Linked DNA regions of Drosophila melanogaster. The gene in region 1 interacts genetically with each later gene. Each region holds a gene or a part of one and is shown on either strand. Other genes may lie near its edges.

Evidence for each region.
Region 2: of tna (region 1) and tara, changing one enhances a phenotype caused by changing the other (phenotypic enhancement), as found in Drosophila melanogaster (one study listed by BioGRID).

What each region holds. Positions count from the first base shown.
Region 1 is NT_037436.4:10,831,653-10,840,054, reverse strand, and holds the start of tna (tonalli), read right to left. Parts: upstream 4,528-8,402; coding exon 4,310-4,527; intron 1-4,309.
Region 2 is NT_033777.3:16,222,603-16,230,902, reverse strand, and holds the start of tara (taranis), read right to left. Parts: upstream 5,253-8,300; 5' UTR 4,488-5,252; coding exon 4,464-4,487; intron 1-4,463.

The DNA.
Region 1 (8,402 bases):
TAATTTGTTCTTTAATTTATGGCATGCGAAAGCCTTTTCTCCGCATTACTATTATTGTTGTTCTTTCGCTGTCACTCGGCGAATGTCTCAGAGTCTGGATTGTGTGAGTCTCCCTGATTGAGATGGCTTAATTAACTAAACGATGTGCCTGGAATTTAATTGGCGACCGCTCAGCGAAGGCGGAAGCGTTTTTCTAAAGTTTAGTTTAGGTTTTGCCACTGGAACTTTCCACTCATGGATCACATTCCGTCGAAGAAGACGCGCCGCGCCCACCAACGATCTGCTAATGCCAGATGGCTTTAATTTATTTTGTAAATTATTTCCCATATCAAAAGCAATGAAAATACATTTTCCATCCCCGCTCGCCCAGAAAATACTTTTTGTTCATAAACAAATTGTTTTTGTGGGCCACCACGAAATGAAAATACACAACTAGTTGTATGGAGCTGGGCAGCAATTCTTAAAATTGTGATGGAAATCGAAGTGAAAATCGAGAAAGATGAGCAAAGAATTAGGAGAAGAGGCCTTAAGTGAACCGAAAACAATAAATAAAGTTTTTGCCTTGGTTTATAATTATAAGCATCTTAGGCAGGCGAAAGATCTGCAGAAAATACTTTGAAAACATGTTGCAATTGCTTATAGTTTGAAGCAAGCCGATAAAATTAAGAATATATTGTTAAAACATTGGAATGTTCACTAAGTGTTATGCATTAGTTTTAGAAAATGAAAAGTATAATTAAATTATAATTATATTATAATTAATTATTTTTTGAAAGTGAAGCATACTTTCCTCTTTAATTATTTAAAATTATTATTTTGATATACGGACTGAACTTTTTATGCAATTGTTTAGGATGGGCCAAAACTCTCAGAATTAGTTGTAATTATGGTTAATAAAATTCTCGCTTCCACAAATAAGAGACAAAAAGTTTCAAAAGTTTTCATGACCCCACTTCCTGCGATCCCTTACCATTTCCCGCTGCCACCTCATTAACTTTAACTTTGAACTTTTCCATTTCTTCCAATAAGGAAAATTTCGCTATCCTCGTACCCCAACTCTCAATTTTTCTGCGTTTTAACAGCATTGGTCGAGCTAGCGCCAAACGATTCTCGGAATAATTTTCCATTTTGCTGCTTCTTTGGTCTTTTGCTTTTTAATTGAGTACATACATACAAACGAAAGATGCAGACGAGGAAAAAAAAAAAACAACCAAAATTAAATTATGTGCAAAGAGGAACGAAATCTTTTTCGGTGACTTTTTCATTTGAATTTCGGAATGGAAGTCAGCGAAGCCATTATGAAATTATTTATTAAATGTTGTGAAATCACTCGATGCACATGGACCCATTTGGAACCTTGGAGTGTCGCTGTATCTGACTTCGTATCTGGGCTTTTTACACGCAAAAAAGTTTTTACTTGAAAATGTGATATAAAAATGTATAAAGATACAAATGTATCTTAGGCTCGTAATCACTGCTCTGGAAAGTCCTGTTCTACATTTTTGAGATTTTTGTAATTAAGAGATACATTTTTCTTTCTCTGCATTTGTATCTGTTTATGGGCAGCAGGGCAACGCTTGGATTCTAATTGTCGAAGTCGTCATTTGTCGTCGCTTTTTCATTGGCGTCATCCATTGCTGTCGTCGGGGTGTGAGATTTAAGTCGGTTTATCGACAGCATCGTCGCCGATTTTGGTTGCGTATTGTCGCCTATATGGCACCTCCCCCCCCCTATTTATGCTCCCCCCTGAAAGCCCCACCGATTGATCATCATCATCATCATTGTACGCTGCCTTTGTTTGTGCGGCTCGCGTATTTCTTCAATAAATTTTCAGTTTATTCGGTTTATTTATTTACTTATATTTGCTATTGCTCTTTAGCTCGTATCCACCGCCCCACTTCAGTTCACAATTCCCTTTCCATTTTGGCTTCTTCGCTTTTCGCTTTGTTTTCTCGCAGCCTTATGATTATTTTTCTCAGTTTCCACCTCCGAAGAGCCCCATTCCCTCCAAATCTTCGCCCTCCATCGTCTCCGTCGCTCGCGTAATTGAATTTCAACTTGTTTGCATTGTCGACGATGATGATAATTCGTCGGGGTATTTTGCGTATTGAGATCAGGGCCTCATCAATTAGTAAATTAATTTTATGCTCGCCGCTTTATGGAAATAAAGTTTTGCAGCATCCGAGCCGAGGAAAGTGGAAAATCAGAGGGATGAGCACAGGAAGCAAGCTTAAGATTGAAAATCTTGTTTGTTTACTCAGTTAGAAAATCGCCTGGAATTCTTGAGATATTCATCCCGAAGGCCGTCGTAAAAATCCTTAATCAATTTATGGCTCTTTTGTGTTCTGAACAATTTAATTAAGTTCTTTAAGGCACTGCAAACTACTTTGTTGTATACAAATGAACAAATATTAACCTTTTACTGCTAACGAAACTAAACAAATATAAAAAATGTTAGTCTTGAACTGAGCAATATTATTATAAATTTTAAATATAATTACTATGCAATACTGCAGCTCTTCAAATAACAAATGTATTTTAACTTAACTACCACTTCCCGCACATTTTTCAACTAGTTAACTTTTATTTGTCCCATTTTACAGAATGAAATGTCAGTAAATATTTTTGTAATTATTCGATTTATTTTTTGCGCCATTTGACGTACCAAAATTTCAATTATAATCAGCTTTGGCTTTATTTAAATATGGCACACATTTACCAACCAACCACCACTCCCACTTTTAGCTCATTATTTATTTTCTACTGTCCGTTTCCCACGGAAAGTTGCAATTATCATATTTGACTTTTCCGCATAAATTCTGTGAATTATCTCACCGCAACTATTTTTATTTGTTTTAATTATTATTATAGTAGTTTTAGCAAATGTATTTTGTTGCCATTTTATTTTTTGTGTTTCACAAAATATTACAGAACTCGAACGGAATGTTTGTGCCATTGATTCGTATTTGCGGTTGGCAAACCGAAACGAAATGTGCAACAAATTATTTCTGATATTATTATTTATTTATAGAAAAAGCTGAAAATAGAAAAAAAGTCATCAGCAAAATATGATATGTGACAATTCAATCACAAATCGAGATAGGAACCCTCTCTCAATTTTATATATTTTTTTGTTGTGTTGATCCCAAATGCAAAAATTGCCCGTTAAAATGCAATCTTCATTATTTAATTTATTTGAATTTTTGCTGGCAATAAATATTCATTTCTGACCGTAGTGGGTGTTGGCCTCTGTAGATATGGGAAAATTGTATGCAAATACAATTAAATGTTTTCATATGCATTTTGTGTGCTCCTCGATTTGATTGCTGCCAAGGGATATGTCTTGTTCAAACGGTTTACGTGGCGTATACTTGATATTATGTATTTTCTATGAATGTGCAATTTTTATTTATTATGCCAAGCAATTGAGAAAGAAAGAAAGATTAATCAAGAGCTTTGAAGAATATGTTATATATATATATATTGGGTTTGAATACTTTCCGCTCGAGCCCATTGAATATTTAAACATTACAATTGCTGTGGTGATTTCTGGCCATTTTAATCTGCTGCTAAGTCCCACTTTTGTCCGGTCAATGTGTAAATCAATAATGCATTAAAAACTTATTAGAACAAACAAGGATTCATTAGGCGCAATCTGTGTTCGTCCGTTTCGCAGTTGTTATTTATATCGATATAACAAGGTAATAACTGCACACTTAAGTATGCAAATAGCCTGGCCCGCACCTTCGTCCTTGTATGCCTGTGTGTGCGTGCGTCTGTGTTTGCACATGCAAATGTTATCATTTGTGATTAGTTACAGTCCTGAAATGCTAATGCCCCTTGACAAGCAACAGCAACAACCGCAAGACAACTCACTTTCGGGTTAACTGGAATGCCAGCCAGTGTATGTCTGTGTATGTCTGTACATCTGTGTGCCTTTGATCCTTATGAATAGTCAGCCAGCCGGAGGACGAGCCGAATTTGCCCCGGCTGGCATTGTGCTTCGCTCTGAATTATTTACACAAATCCAACTGCAATCGTTTGTCAATTTGCCAATTGACAGTGAACATAATTGATGGTGATTAAGGGTGAACGTAGTAGGTAAAGAAGGTGGGATTGCTTTATGAAGTCATTCGCTTGGCAAAAGATTGTTATGTTGTAGTGTGAGGCCATAGATTTGGTAAATTATTGTCGTACCGTTACTATTGTAAGTCTCAAAACTGAAAGACTTATCTTAACACTGTAATTATAAATACTAATTCGATATCTATGATATATATATAGTCTATTATATCTAAGGATAACATACTTCCCTCCGTTGAGTGCATCCTGCAACTGCTTCAAGCATCGATCGATTTTTCTTTCCCTCACTTGTGAGCCATATTTGGATGACGAATAGGGATCGAACAGGAATGGAAAATAGGGATGTGGGTCAAACGTTAAAACGGAAGTCGAATCATCTTTGGTGATTTCCTCCTTGACTTTCTCCTTTCTGGACTCCTTCACTTGTTCCACCTTTTCACTCATTTCGCCACTTGCCAATCTGCGTTACGTATACGCCACGTTGAACAAACCACGTCTAATCGAACCGAGATTTTTTTACCGCACTTCCAAACGCATCGAACTCTCTTTGGCAACTGCCGTCTAGTTCTTTGTCCAACTTCCTCTGCGATTAATTTTTATTAGTAGTGCCTCCAGTGCCTGGCAGTAGTTATTACAGTTGGCCAGCGCACATCTTAGCCATAGGTGGACTAATCACCAGCGCCATCAGCTGCAGTCTTACAGCAACGGCTGGCACTCGATTGCCTTCACCACCCATTCTGAAGGCCACGCGAAGCTTTTTGCATATTGCGTATACGTCATGTGCGTCCGGGATCGAGTTTCATTTCACGGTAATATATGAAAAATTCCTGGTAATGCAATGCGATCCCCAAACTGATTGCTTTAATGGTTTGTTGACTCAGTTAGCTGGCGAATAACAGCAGCTACTGTCAGCGTATTTCTATAAACTCTTAAAGTCGGGTTTTAAGTACATTAGACCTTGTGCTGTGATCCTCATATGAGTGGAATATTCCTACTGTGCGATTTATTGAGAGTGCTGAAAATATACTTTTCGAAAAATTTTCAATAAAAATATTGCAATCTGCTATTACTGCGAAATATCTTCTTAATTCATATCAATGAATGTATTTCATCAATGTAAATTCCCATTTGTATGGGATATACTTAGAAAATTATAGACCATCTCTATGAAAATTCTTTGCAACACAATAGTAACTCAATTCATTCAAATAATAAGGGAATTTTTAAACTCGTCGAGTTTTCTAAATGATCTAGTTTTATTAAAAGAGTAATATAAGTATATACCTTAACTTTCCGCTTTCTTCGCAATACACTTTGGGGTAATTCCTCAAATATTTTCGTCGTTCGTCGGTCTAGCTGGGAAAATTGAGAAGTGAGAGGTGGAAAAAGTGACCTCATTTGGCATAGGACCTCATTTCCTAACGCCCAACGAACCGCTATTTTTTGTTGTACGTCGCAGTTAAGTGTCCTTTCGCATTTCGTTTGCTTGGTGTTTGTCCTGTTTTGTGGGCGGTTGATTTGCTCCTTGGCTCCTCCCGCATCCTGTTCGTCCTGCCCTTGTTTTGCTTTCGGCTTGGTGCCCATGTAACTTGCTGGAAAATTAATAATAATAAAAAAACACCTACCACGGGGTGGGAGTACACGCGTGACCCTATTAAATGTGTGCTAATAAAAGCTTGGCAGCTCCGAAAAAAAATCCAAGGAAAATAAGGGAAACACGCAGGGGCAAGAGCGCAGATAGCTGACCAAGTGCGTAATGTTGGACAGAATATTTCTATGCCCAAGTGGTGAAGAAGTCTTGCTTACAAATTTCTGAAGTGTACAATGGACGATGAAATTACTTAAAAATTCACGAAGAAATGCGAAAGATGACGATGATGATGGGGTGGGGAAAACAAAATCAACGCTCACAAAAGCGGAAACATTTAACGGGGGCGGTGGTGGGTTGATGGTGTTTCTATTTACGCTAAAGGTCAACTTTTTCCATTTGCAGCTTGGTCATTTATAAAATCTTTCGGTATTATTAAGCAAAGCGAGGAAAACCAACTAAGAGGATGAAGTGGTGGAAAGGACTAAGGAAGTACATAAAGAAAACCCAAGGAGGACCAAAGCCGAGTTCTGTTGTGTCCGCGATTTATCAAATTAATGAGTATCATTTTATTTTCATTTCATTTTCTATGCGCCAGCACAAAAAGCGAAGGACGAAATCTCCGAAATTCCAGCAAGGAGTGGTCCAAAAGGAGAGCTTCGAAAATTAAGGTAACTTTTTGGCAAAGCCAAAGGAAAAATGAGTGGAAAAAATGTATAAAAAAGAAATCAAAATAAATGAGAAAGAAACGGACAAGGACAGGTCAAAGTGGAATCGAGGGAAGATTCCTTTCCATCTACGATAGCAAACATTAGAAAAAAATATTCAGAATGAGGCCGACTTGTGAAGTACCCTAAATCGGCAAAAAAGTATTACTAGCAGGATAAATATTTCAAAATAATGAAATTGTTGATTTTAGTTTAATTAAATCTCAAAGACATAGCTAAGATATTTTTCAGCCTAGAATTTGTGTTTTTAATTCCCTTTAAATCGTAATCTTAAAGGTGTAAACTCAAAATTAAATTTGAAAATGTTTTTTTCTAAATAGAAGCAAAAATTTGAAAAAAATCATATGAGCGAGTGCATAAAAAAGTGAAGCAAACACATGGCAGAGCAGTCAGAAACTAATGTCGGCGATTACATAAACAGGACACATGAAAGGACGAGCCCAGACGAGAGTGGGATGGATATACACACCCAAAGGCAAAATAGGAACACCCAGAAAACCAACATGAGCATAAATCCTCGCACCCGAATGCCAAACCCAGTAACCCTCCGCATTCCTCCCCACACAAAAAGGATACAAAACACTTTGCATTGGAAAGGTACAAACAAATAAAGTGACCAAACCCGGACCAAATAGGAAATACCCACCCACCCATCCACACACACACTCACACACACACACATATATAATAATAAATAAAATGCTTATGTGAAAAAAAAAGAAATCCAAGAAGAGACCCAAAAAAGGCCAGAAGAAACCCAAAAGGAAACGGACAGGAGCGACATGCAGAAAGGAAACGAAAGGAAAAGAAAGGAAGCCAAGGCGAATTGTTTTATATCCCTCATTTGTCCATTTAATGGCTGAAACGAGCCACATCCAAAGAGCCAAAGAACCAAAGAGCCGATGAGGACGGACGAAACCAACCCAAACAGGAATCCAGGACATGAGCAAACAAAGCTGGGATAGAACAGGAAGCGGATGGGGCAAGGATGGCTGGGAAAAACGCAACCAAGCAAAGTGAAAAAGAATATTGAAACACTAATAAAAATGAGGATAAGCGGGGAATGCATTAAGTAAAATATAGAATAAGTGCCCATACATGGGGGTGATCAGAGTGTGAGTTTTCAGGGGGTGGTCCGTACGCAAAGGTTTGCCGTAAGGGTTATGCCCGGGTCGCCCACCCATTATGGGTTACTCTCTAAGGGTTGCTCTTCCGCCCCCCAAATACAAATACGATCTGATATAGCAATAATTTAACCCTTTAGCACAGCATGTGGAAAACAATACCTGGTACAACACCCTGAGCAACAGATTTTCTACCTAGTGTCTCAAGGGTTCTGTTCAAATTTCATGAACTTCGATGTGTAACATAAAACGAGTCATCAGTGGTGATTACAAAAATGTCAGCGAGTCTCGAAAAAGGACGTATGAAATTACGCTTGCTAAGTAGAGTTCTCCTATAATCTGACAAATTTCTTAAATCGACAACAATCATAGTTGAAGAGATTATTCTCTGGTCCATTTGTTTCCATTGGAGATTTAGTTGACTGATGGCCTTTGTCAGTTATTTCCTTTGGGAAAAAGGCTTAATTATAATCTTAGTTAAGAAGCATCGCAAGTTTTTGACACAATATTGAAAATGTGTACAAATATTTTCCCTTTGACGTAAAATCTAATCTTCTTGATTTTAATCCAATGTTATAAATAATTATTGTATTTTTTTTATTACTATGGTATGGGTACTATGATTGGGTCTGGATTATGCAAGTTGTATGGCATTTAGGACATCTTAAAATGTCATATATTTCCAAACTGATATATATTTTTGAGTACTTTACAACTATTTCCCCCTGCCATTAGGCTTAACTCTTAGTAATCTTAAGTCTCCTCTGAGCGGACAACTCCCTTGAGCGGACACTTCTTTCTGGCTTAATATCTGTTACTTGTGCTTGAATTTTGCTGCGGTGAATGTTTTTCCAACTCAAATGTCAACTTTGTCACACT
Region 2 (8,300 bases), on another chromosome or scaffold:
AGCTCAAAGGATATGCTTTTTAAATGGATTTGGTATTGTCTGTGCGTTTAGCATTAACTGTATTCTAGGAACGTTTTTTCTCTTAAGTAAACTGGGTGTCTCGAATAAATGTATTCGAAAACTTTATTGCCCATCTGATATTTCAGAAATTCAATTGTTCCTAGTATCTGGGCGGCACTTGACGACTTCTTTCCACTGATGATCATCCATTTGTATTCCCCATGCGATCCGCATTTGGTGTCGTCGTTATTGGAATCGCATTTTCGCTCTCGTTCGTCATTGCTCGCTGGTTTCGTTCATTCATACCCATTCGATTGTCATTTATTAGGGGCCGATCATTACGTAGTCATTTGTGTTTGACAATTTGAATGGGTTTTCTCACGCTAAGCAGCGCAGTCGGCGGCGGCGCCGCTTTGTCTTCCAATTCACTCAGTCATTCAATTTCATGCCTCATTCTGACTTGTTTGCTTCCGTCTGCCTTCTTTTTTACTGCTCTGCTCTGCTGTACTGTCCGCTTTTTTTCATTCATATTTATTTAGCTAATAATATAAGTCAAATCGAAATTATTTATGACACCCGGCATCGAACGCGAGTGTCTATGCGATTGTGAGTGAATCCGACTTCGACCCTACCCCAATTAGCTGGTGGCCGTGCCGCGGTGCTTTTGTTTTGATCGTTATGTAAATGGGTGAGAGATGATTTTTATTGTTTTTATAGCCACTGAATAATCGGCGTGGGTTGATAGTGAATTCTCGCGTGCCGACTGGTATGTGTGAACTCGTAGTAAATATTTGGCTTTGAAAAATTGCTCAATGAATGCCACGGACAGCTGATCTAATCGTTAATGCTTTTTACTATGAAGCGTTGTCGTGTTTCCCCCGTAGTAATCACGAAAATGTTTTGCTATTCATATCTTAAGATACATATCTATAGATATAGTATCGAGGATTGTGCTAAGATAATTTCAATTCATTCTTGATTATTACGAGCATTGTTAACTTATGTCAGTACTAGCTTATGGTCTTTTAGTTGAAAGACAGTCGACTTCCCTTATAATTCCTAATTCTTATTCACTAAACCACTTATCTATTTTCTTGAGTTCCACTCACGAAATGAACACTCAATCCGTAAATATGCTCAAACCCTTAACAAGTCTGTCAATTTGTTTTCTTTTTTCCGCTTTCTGTCACTGTTTCGCACAACATAAAAAGGATTGCGGTGTTTTCACTATGCTAAATGCCAAAAAGAAATCTCACCGCCCCAAACCAAGAAAAAAGTAGCGGCATTTGGTTAGCTTTCATGTATTTCCTCTTGATTAGAAACTGCAAAGCAAAACAAAACCGGAAAAAGGGTTATTTTTTATTGCTCTCTGCCTGTGTGTCAGTGTATGTGAGTGCTTGTGTTTACTTCTTAACTTTCGGCGTTTCCCTTGGATTTTTCTTTTCCTTATTATTATTTTTATTATTGTCGCCGGCGCAGTAGGCGTCGCGAGCTTTTAGCATTTTTAAATTGACGTTTATTATGCGCGCTGCTTTCGTCGTTTTCGTTTTTTATTGTTTTCCTTTTATTTTGGTGTGTGCCTTTGTGTGTGTGGTCAACATTGTTTTTGTATCTCTCTCCTTGCGCCGCTGGCGTTGGCGTCGACGTTGACGGCGACTGCGGCTGTGCCGTTGGCAGAGCTGCGCTGCGCCGTTTCTTTAGTTTGTTTTGGTTTTTAATTTAATCGTTTTTGTGGCCGCTCTTTGTTGTTGTTGTAGTTGTCGTTAAATGTGCTTAGCACGTGCTGCCGGCCTACTACCTCCCTCTCTTTCACTCCTGCACTGGTTATTGTTGACTCTTGCTTTTGCTGTTGCTTTTGCCCTTTTGTGTCTGCTCTTGATGCTTATTAGCGAGTGGCATTCACTCACTCTTTTAGCCAGTCACTCACCCCACCATCCTCATCCTCCTCCCCCTCCTACAACTCATTCTGCGTTCATTCATGACAGCAGGTTGCTCTGCCGTCGCTTAGAAACAAGTGGCCAATAAATTATGGCCGCAAAGAGCGGGAAGAAGAAGACTAGAGGCAGCACACTGTCCATTATTATTGCCCATTGAAAGCGTAATGGTAAATACGCATAAAACCGTTATACAGTCAAACATCACTAGATTGGAATTGTCCGCATCAATTGTGCAAAAATACCACTCAACATACAGAAGTTCATTACTCCGCGTTAATAATGCGAATGTGGTTTTAAAACATCTACATATGTGCAAACGATGATGTTAACGATAATGTTGAAATTGCATTAAAACATATTAATAACAGAATTTTATGCACAGTGCATAAAAGTTTACAAGTTTTTAAGATTTTATGCCACTCATATAATCAGTTTTAAATATTTTTAATTTTGAAGTAACATATTTTTAATGAAATACGAATACAAAAACCGTTCTTTAAATGCGCAAAATAAAATGTAGAACTCGAATTCCCAATGGCGGCAATTGTTCATTCACCACATGTTTGCGGTTCGAGTTAGAGATTTTTGCCTGTATTTATAGCCCGGAAAAAAGGGTTCGTCCGCCGCCGGCTGCTGCCCCTCTCCCCGTGAATGTGTTTCGTATCCGGGCTTTTTTATGATACGGAAACTGACCTAAGGTATGCGACGGGCATTTGCATGGGACCGATAATGAAAATGAGTTGCCGGGGTGCCACGCCCACTGCCATCCCCCAGAAAGGAGCGGAACAAGCGCAAGTCATGATGCTATTATTATACAACGTTCGGACTTTGGTACGTCACTGTGTCAAGGACAAGTGGATTCCATTGCGGTGTGTATGTGTGTGTGTTTGTGCGTAAATTGGTAAGAGGGGACTGGTACGTGTATTTATTGTTGATTTTCCGTTTTACGACCTTTGCCCTTGTTAATCATTTATGTGGAGCGGTCGAATTTGTTGACTTTTTAACAACAGACTTTTCCAAGGCTTGGCTAAATATACCTCATTTACCCGTTCTTTTACCTAAACACCTCAAATAAAAAATTGACATTACACATTTGTAACATTACCAAAAACCCATTAAAGAATGTGCACGTATGTACATACATATGCAAGCTTGATCACAAGTACAAACTATTAACTAAAAAGTTTGGGAATATTATTTTGTCTTAACATTTTTAAATAAATTGCTACCTGACAAATTCCTGGTAGCAAACATTTTTCTCAAAGCCGGCATATCTACATATCTTGCATCGAACACTTTGTCCAATTGTGGGTCAAGTTTATTTCAAAAATGTATTTCCTCTTCGGTTTTTATTTGTTTGCGGAACTTGGAAGTGAAGCCTGCAAAGAATCTTAAATGCCAATGCACTTTACATGCCCCGAACCAACCGCACCGCCCCATGCGATTGCCACCCCCTCGACGTGTATGACATTTTTGCCGTTTTTGTTTTGCTCGCCGGCTTCTACGCCTCTACCACCACAATCACCATCACGTCCGCACCACCCACCGCCCCCCTTTCATCATCCATCATCACAAAAACTTTCATTTAATTGCTGCAAGCGGTAGAAATAAAGAAAGAAAACAAAGAGGGAGAAAAAACCTTGATGTTGTTGGCTTTTGTTTACTTGGCTTCGATTGCGATGGGGGCTTGTCGGGAAAGACCCCAACTTGGGAATGGAAATCGTATCTGAATCGGAATCGGGCATCGAGAATCGGGGGATTCGAGGGAATCGAGCAAATGGCTAGCTGACGACGCGTGCTGTGCGTGCCTACTACAAATGCCCCACATGGATGTGCGTGCTGCTCCGCTGGAGGCACCCATCCTTGACCCCCCGATGCTCACCCCTCGTGGCGCCCCACGCCAATCCATTGAACATTTCCCGGCCGTAGCCAAATGACTTTTCAATTGGATTCGCCGGTAAACGGCAAAGGAAACAAGCGCATAAAGCGTAAATGCCGATAGAAGAAACTCAAGAATCAAAACAAAGATAGCGAATGCACCTCACATGTGTACTCAAATGCAATCATATCATACACCGCAATGAACCATACATATGTGATAAGAATGAAGCCAATAAATGTAGGGAAACTGAATGTTAATAATAAGGTGACACCATACAACCATATGATTGATAATCAAATCTAAAAACATTGGTATATTTCTAATATTTTTAGGAAATGTATATTTTCTTATAATTAGATTGCATAGCTTTAAATTACGAACGATCACTTTACATTTTAAAAATACCATTATTAGATATTATATGTCGTAAGTTCAGCTCAGATATCACATTATATGCTGGACCAAAATTGAAATAGTATTTTCTGATCAAAATTTGATCATTTCAATTTAGATTCAAGTGTAGTCCATCTAGAGCTAGAACAAACACGATGACAATAACCAATCGATGGCCAATATCATTGGACAAGATCAAGGTCGGTACTTATAGAGTGAGCCATAGTAAGGCCTTATCACGATCTACTCACATTGGATTCCGTCCACATTTTCATGGTTTCCTGCGAAGTCTTGAGGAGGTAATCTCGGCTGGCAATAATTTAAGTTTGGCGCCTTTTTCTGAGTCGCTGGTTGTTTTGGGTTCCGTGGTGTTCCTTAGCCCCAGCTCCACATGTTTGCGGGTTTGAGGGTGATGGGGAAGTCGATCGTCGGGCCAAGAACGATTCACTATATAACACACACAAAACACACACGCTCTGGCACAAACACACATGCAGACCGCTGGTCCGATGTTTTTGTTTTTGGCGCTGTTGTTCAACTGGGAAAAATGGGGAAAATCGCTGTGGAAAATTTACGTAGTTTTTGCTCGGGCTCTGTGGCTTTGGCCGAGCGCCTTTGGCGTCGTCGTCGCTGGTCGCTTGGCGTCTTGTTGTGCGAAGTGCAGAGTTCGTACTGAATGCTTTCGGCCTGGCCAACACACTCGACAGCCGGGTGGCCAGGGTTGCCGTCGCCGCGCCTGGAAAACTCTCTGCGCTTTGGCAACTCTGCCACATGCGCGCGTTGTTGTTGCCAGCTTTTCCGCCTCGAATTTTCGTATTTTCAGTTGCTCTGTGGAAAGCCACCAGGCTGGGACACAATCGGGCGAAAGCCATGGCTCCAATCCCAATACCAAAACTCAGACCCACAATGCTTTCAATGTACCATGCCTTCCGCCCTCTCTGCTTCGCCCCAGCTCCACGTTTTCATCATTTCCTGAACTATTTTAGTGGGCCCGACCAACAAACAAAGCCAACTCGCCTTGGCTCGGTTCAATTCGGATTGCTTCAGCTCAGCTCGTATGGGTTTTGCTTTGCTTTGGCCGCTTTGCTCGTTTTCATAAAGTCGATAATTGTGATTGGCGCCTAACGGTTTCTGCACGAAGCCAAGTACACAGATGTATCGATAATATTGGATCTTTGTTCATAATGGGGGATCGATATTTTTGTGCTGGAAATCGAACTTCTGCAGCTTGTGAAGAATTTACAACCATTCCTTTAACTTATACGCAACGTAAGCGCCTAACTAAACTTCCTCTTTTTGGCTTTGTAAATAAATAAAGATCTCCAACAGATTATTGACGATTTTGTAAGATGAAAACTGAATGCTACAAATATTTCCATATTTTTGTTTCTGCAAGGGTAACAGGGCGTGTATGATTGATATAGCGAAAATCATCTTATTAATGACTTTGGTAAGAGGCGGAACAGAAATACATTTTTCGGAGGATCGGTATACGTGTGGGTTTGGTAAATAAAATTGCAAAGTTTGTACAAACGATCCTAAATTACTAAGTCCTTAAAAGAAATCATAGAATTATCTAATATCTCTTATATATGTAGTTTTAAATGATGATCAAATAAATTTATTTCGAATCAGTTCAAAGACGATCCTAAGTGCTCATATCATCTTTTCTGATTGCAAAGGCTGGTGGCATAACGTCGCACCTGATATCGGCGACTTTTATCAGTTGACAGTGAGTCAGGTGCTCTGCGGAGCGAAGCGACCACAGTGCCGAACGACCTTTTGCTGACTGATAAAAGTGGGCGATTTGGGTGGCTAGGCTCTCTTTCCCCACACACAGTCACACTTACGAGAGCAATTCCCCACCCTCCGACCCCGCTGACTGCTGATTGCTTTGCTTGCTTCGCTGCACACACACACTCGCACACCCAGTGCTTAGGAGAGAGTTGGGTGGCTCTTTGTTTGGCCCACGCTCTCCCACAGTTACCAACCGTCATCCACCTCCCTCTTTTCCTCTCTCTCTCTCTCTATGTCATTTATGAGAGCCAGGCCGAACGAAGAGCCGAAGTTTCTGCTGCCAAGGCAAAAGCTAAAGCCGCACTTAAACAAGAATGGATAATAAAATGGTTAAAAATTCTGATAAAAATTGATCAGGTAGAAATATTCTAAGTTATATGAAACTTGTTCATAAATTTAGGACATTATGCAAACGCTTTTTTTTAGTTCATGAATAATTGGTTTAGCAAAAGTTTTTGTTGAGTGTAATGCCGGATTTCTAGTTCTGTCGTGGTCGCTGCTTTTGTCGCTGCCTCTGCTTCTGTCGCTGCCTCTGCTGGCGGAAAACTCCTGGTCCAAAGGCAGCCAAAACAACCGTCGACGGATGACGACGTTTTCCGACTAACAACGGACGCGCATTTTCCACCGTTTCGAGGCAAGAGCGCATTGAAATTTGTGCGACGCAGCGCAGCCTCGAAATTGGCAAAAGGGGTTTTTTTTTGTGGGGATTTGAAAGAGGGGACAGCGCCGTGGTAATGGGAGGCTAGCAGAAAGGGGAGTCGGTTAAAGCTTTAACGATGCTGGCCACTCTGGCGGCTGTGGCATTCATTGTTCGCCTTCGAGCGCCAATCGCTGAAAATGCCATTTTCACTGAAAACAAATATAATTTCTAGAAACTTCATAAAAAACTCCATGTATATTGCTGTAAATAGTATGGAAAACAAGAGCTTAAATCCTTAGCTCTACGTTTCTCAGGAAATTCTAAAGATGAATATAATATCTGTACAAACAATCCAAAAATATATGTTTTAAACATTTTTGTTTTATTTTAGAAATATTTAAAAGGCGTATTTCTATGTAATTATTTTCTCAATCATGCTTATGTTTAATAATAATGTGTTCCATTTAAGCAAATACATTTCCGTTTGAATGTTTGATCGCTCAGTGTGGTGATGTTGTTGCCGCTGTTATTCATCCACTTTGCGTATCCTTTGGCTGTGCTGCTGATTTGTGCGCAAAACTTTTACAACATCGCAGTGGCAGTGGCAGCGGCAGAAGCAGAAGCACCAGCAGGAACAGAGGAACAGAATCCAATGCGGCAACAACAGCAACAGCAACGGCCACACCAACTCGCAACTGGCAACCTATGGCTATGGCTATGGCTATGGCCATGGTATCAGCAACATTAACGAGTCTCAGCAGCGACAGCGTCACCGTCGACGAGCGCCGTTCTTGTCGCGTGGTTATTGCCGCCAGTTGCGGCTCTGCTTTGTCTACGAAAGGTCGAAGACGGAGTCTGTGGTCTGTCTCAGTCGAAGCTTCAGTCTAAGGGGACTCAGCCTGAAGTGACAGAGGCAGGAGCAGAAACAGGGGAAGGGGCGCTTCATCAGTCGCCGATGGCTTTGTCTGCTCTATCAAAAAAAAAAAAAAGTTCAAATATGCATTGCCTTGGGTTACGGGGTTCCCCCGTAATAGGGGGCACAGGGAGAATATGGGATATGTAGAGATAGATGGGCGCATAGGCAGCAAGTCGGAATTTCCGGAAAGTTAAAACTATCTATTAAAACAAGGGGTATAATGACTTTTATCAATTGATCACAGATTGCGTAGAGAGCCAAGATAGATAGATCAAGACAGTAATTTAATGAAATATGCAGATAAATCAGCAGAGAGAGAGAGAGAGATACATAAGTAAACCTATACGGTCTAGGCAAATCGTTACGATTATAAACGTATTTTAAGAGTTTATAAAAGAAAGTAATAGGGTTCTCTTGATGATGATCAGTAGATGTACTGAATGTACCTCTTATCACCCATAAGCCTTTTCGATTGCTCAACTTCCATTATTAAAGTCTTAACCGACTTTGCCTACGGAAGGCTTTAATAATTCTGTGTTTCTAATAAAATTCTCTTGATTGCCCGAAATGTTAATCATTTATTGATATTTCATTTCTGCCACAGGCCTTTCTACGCGCTTCTCATGCCCAACTAGAGCCGTGTCCACATCTCATCCCATGCAGCCCGCTTCTTTCGTTCAGCTGGCTAGCTGGGGGTTGAGTGCTCGCTTTGATGATTTTGTTTTCGAGGCTTAT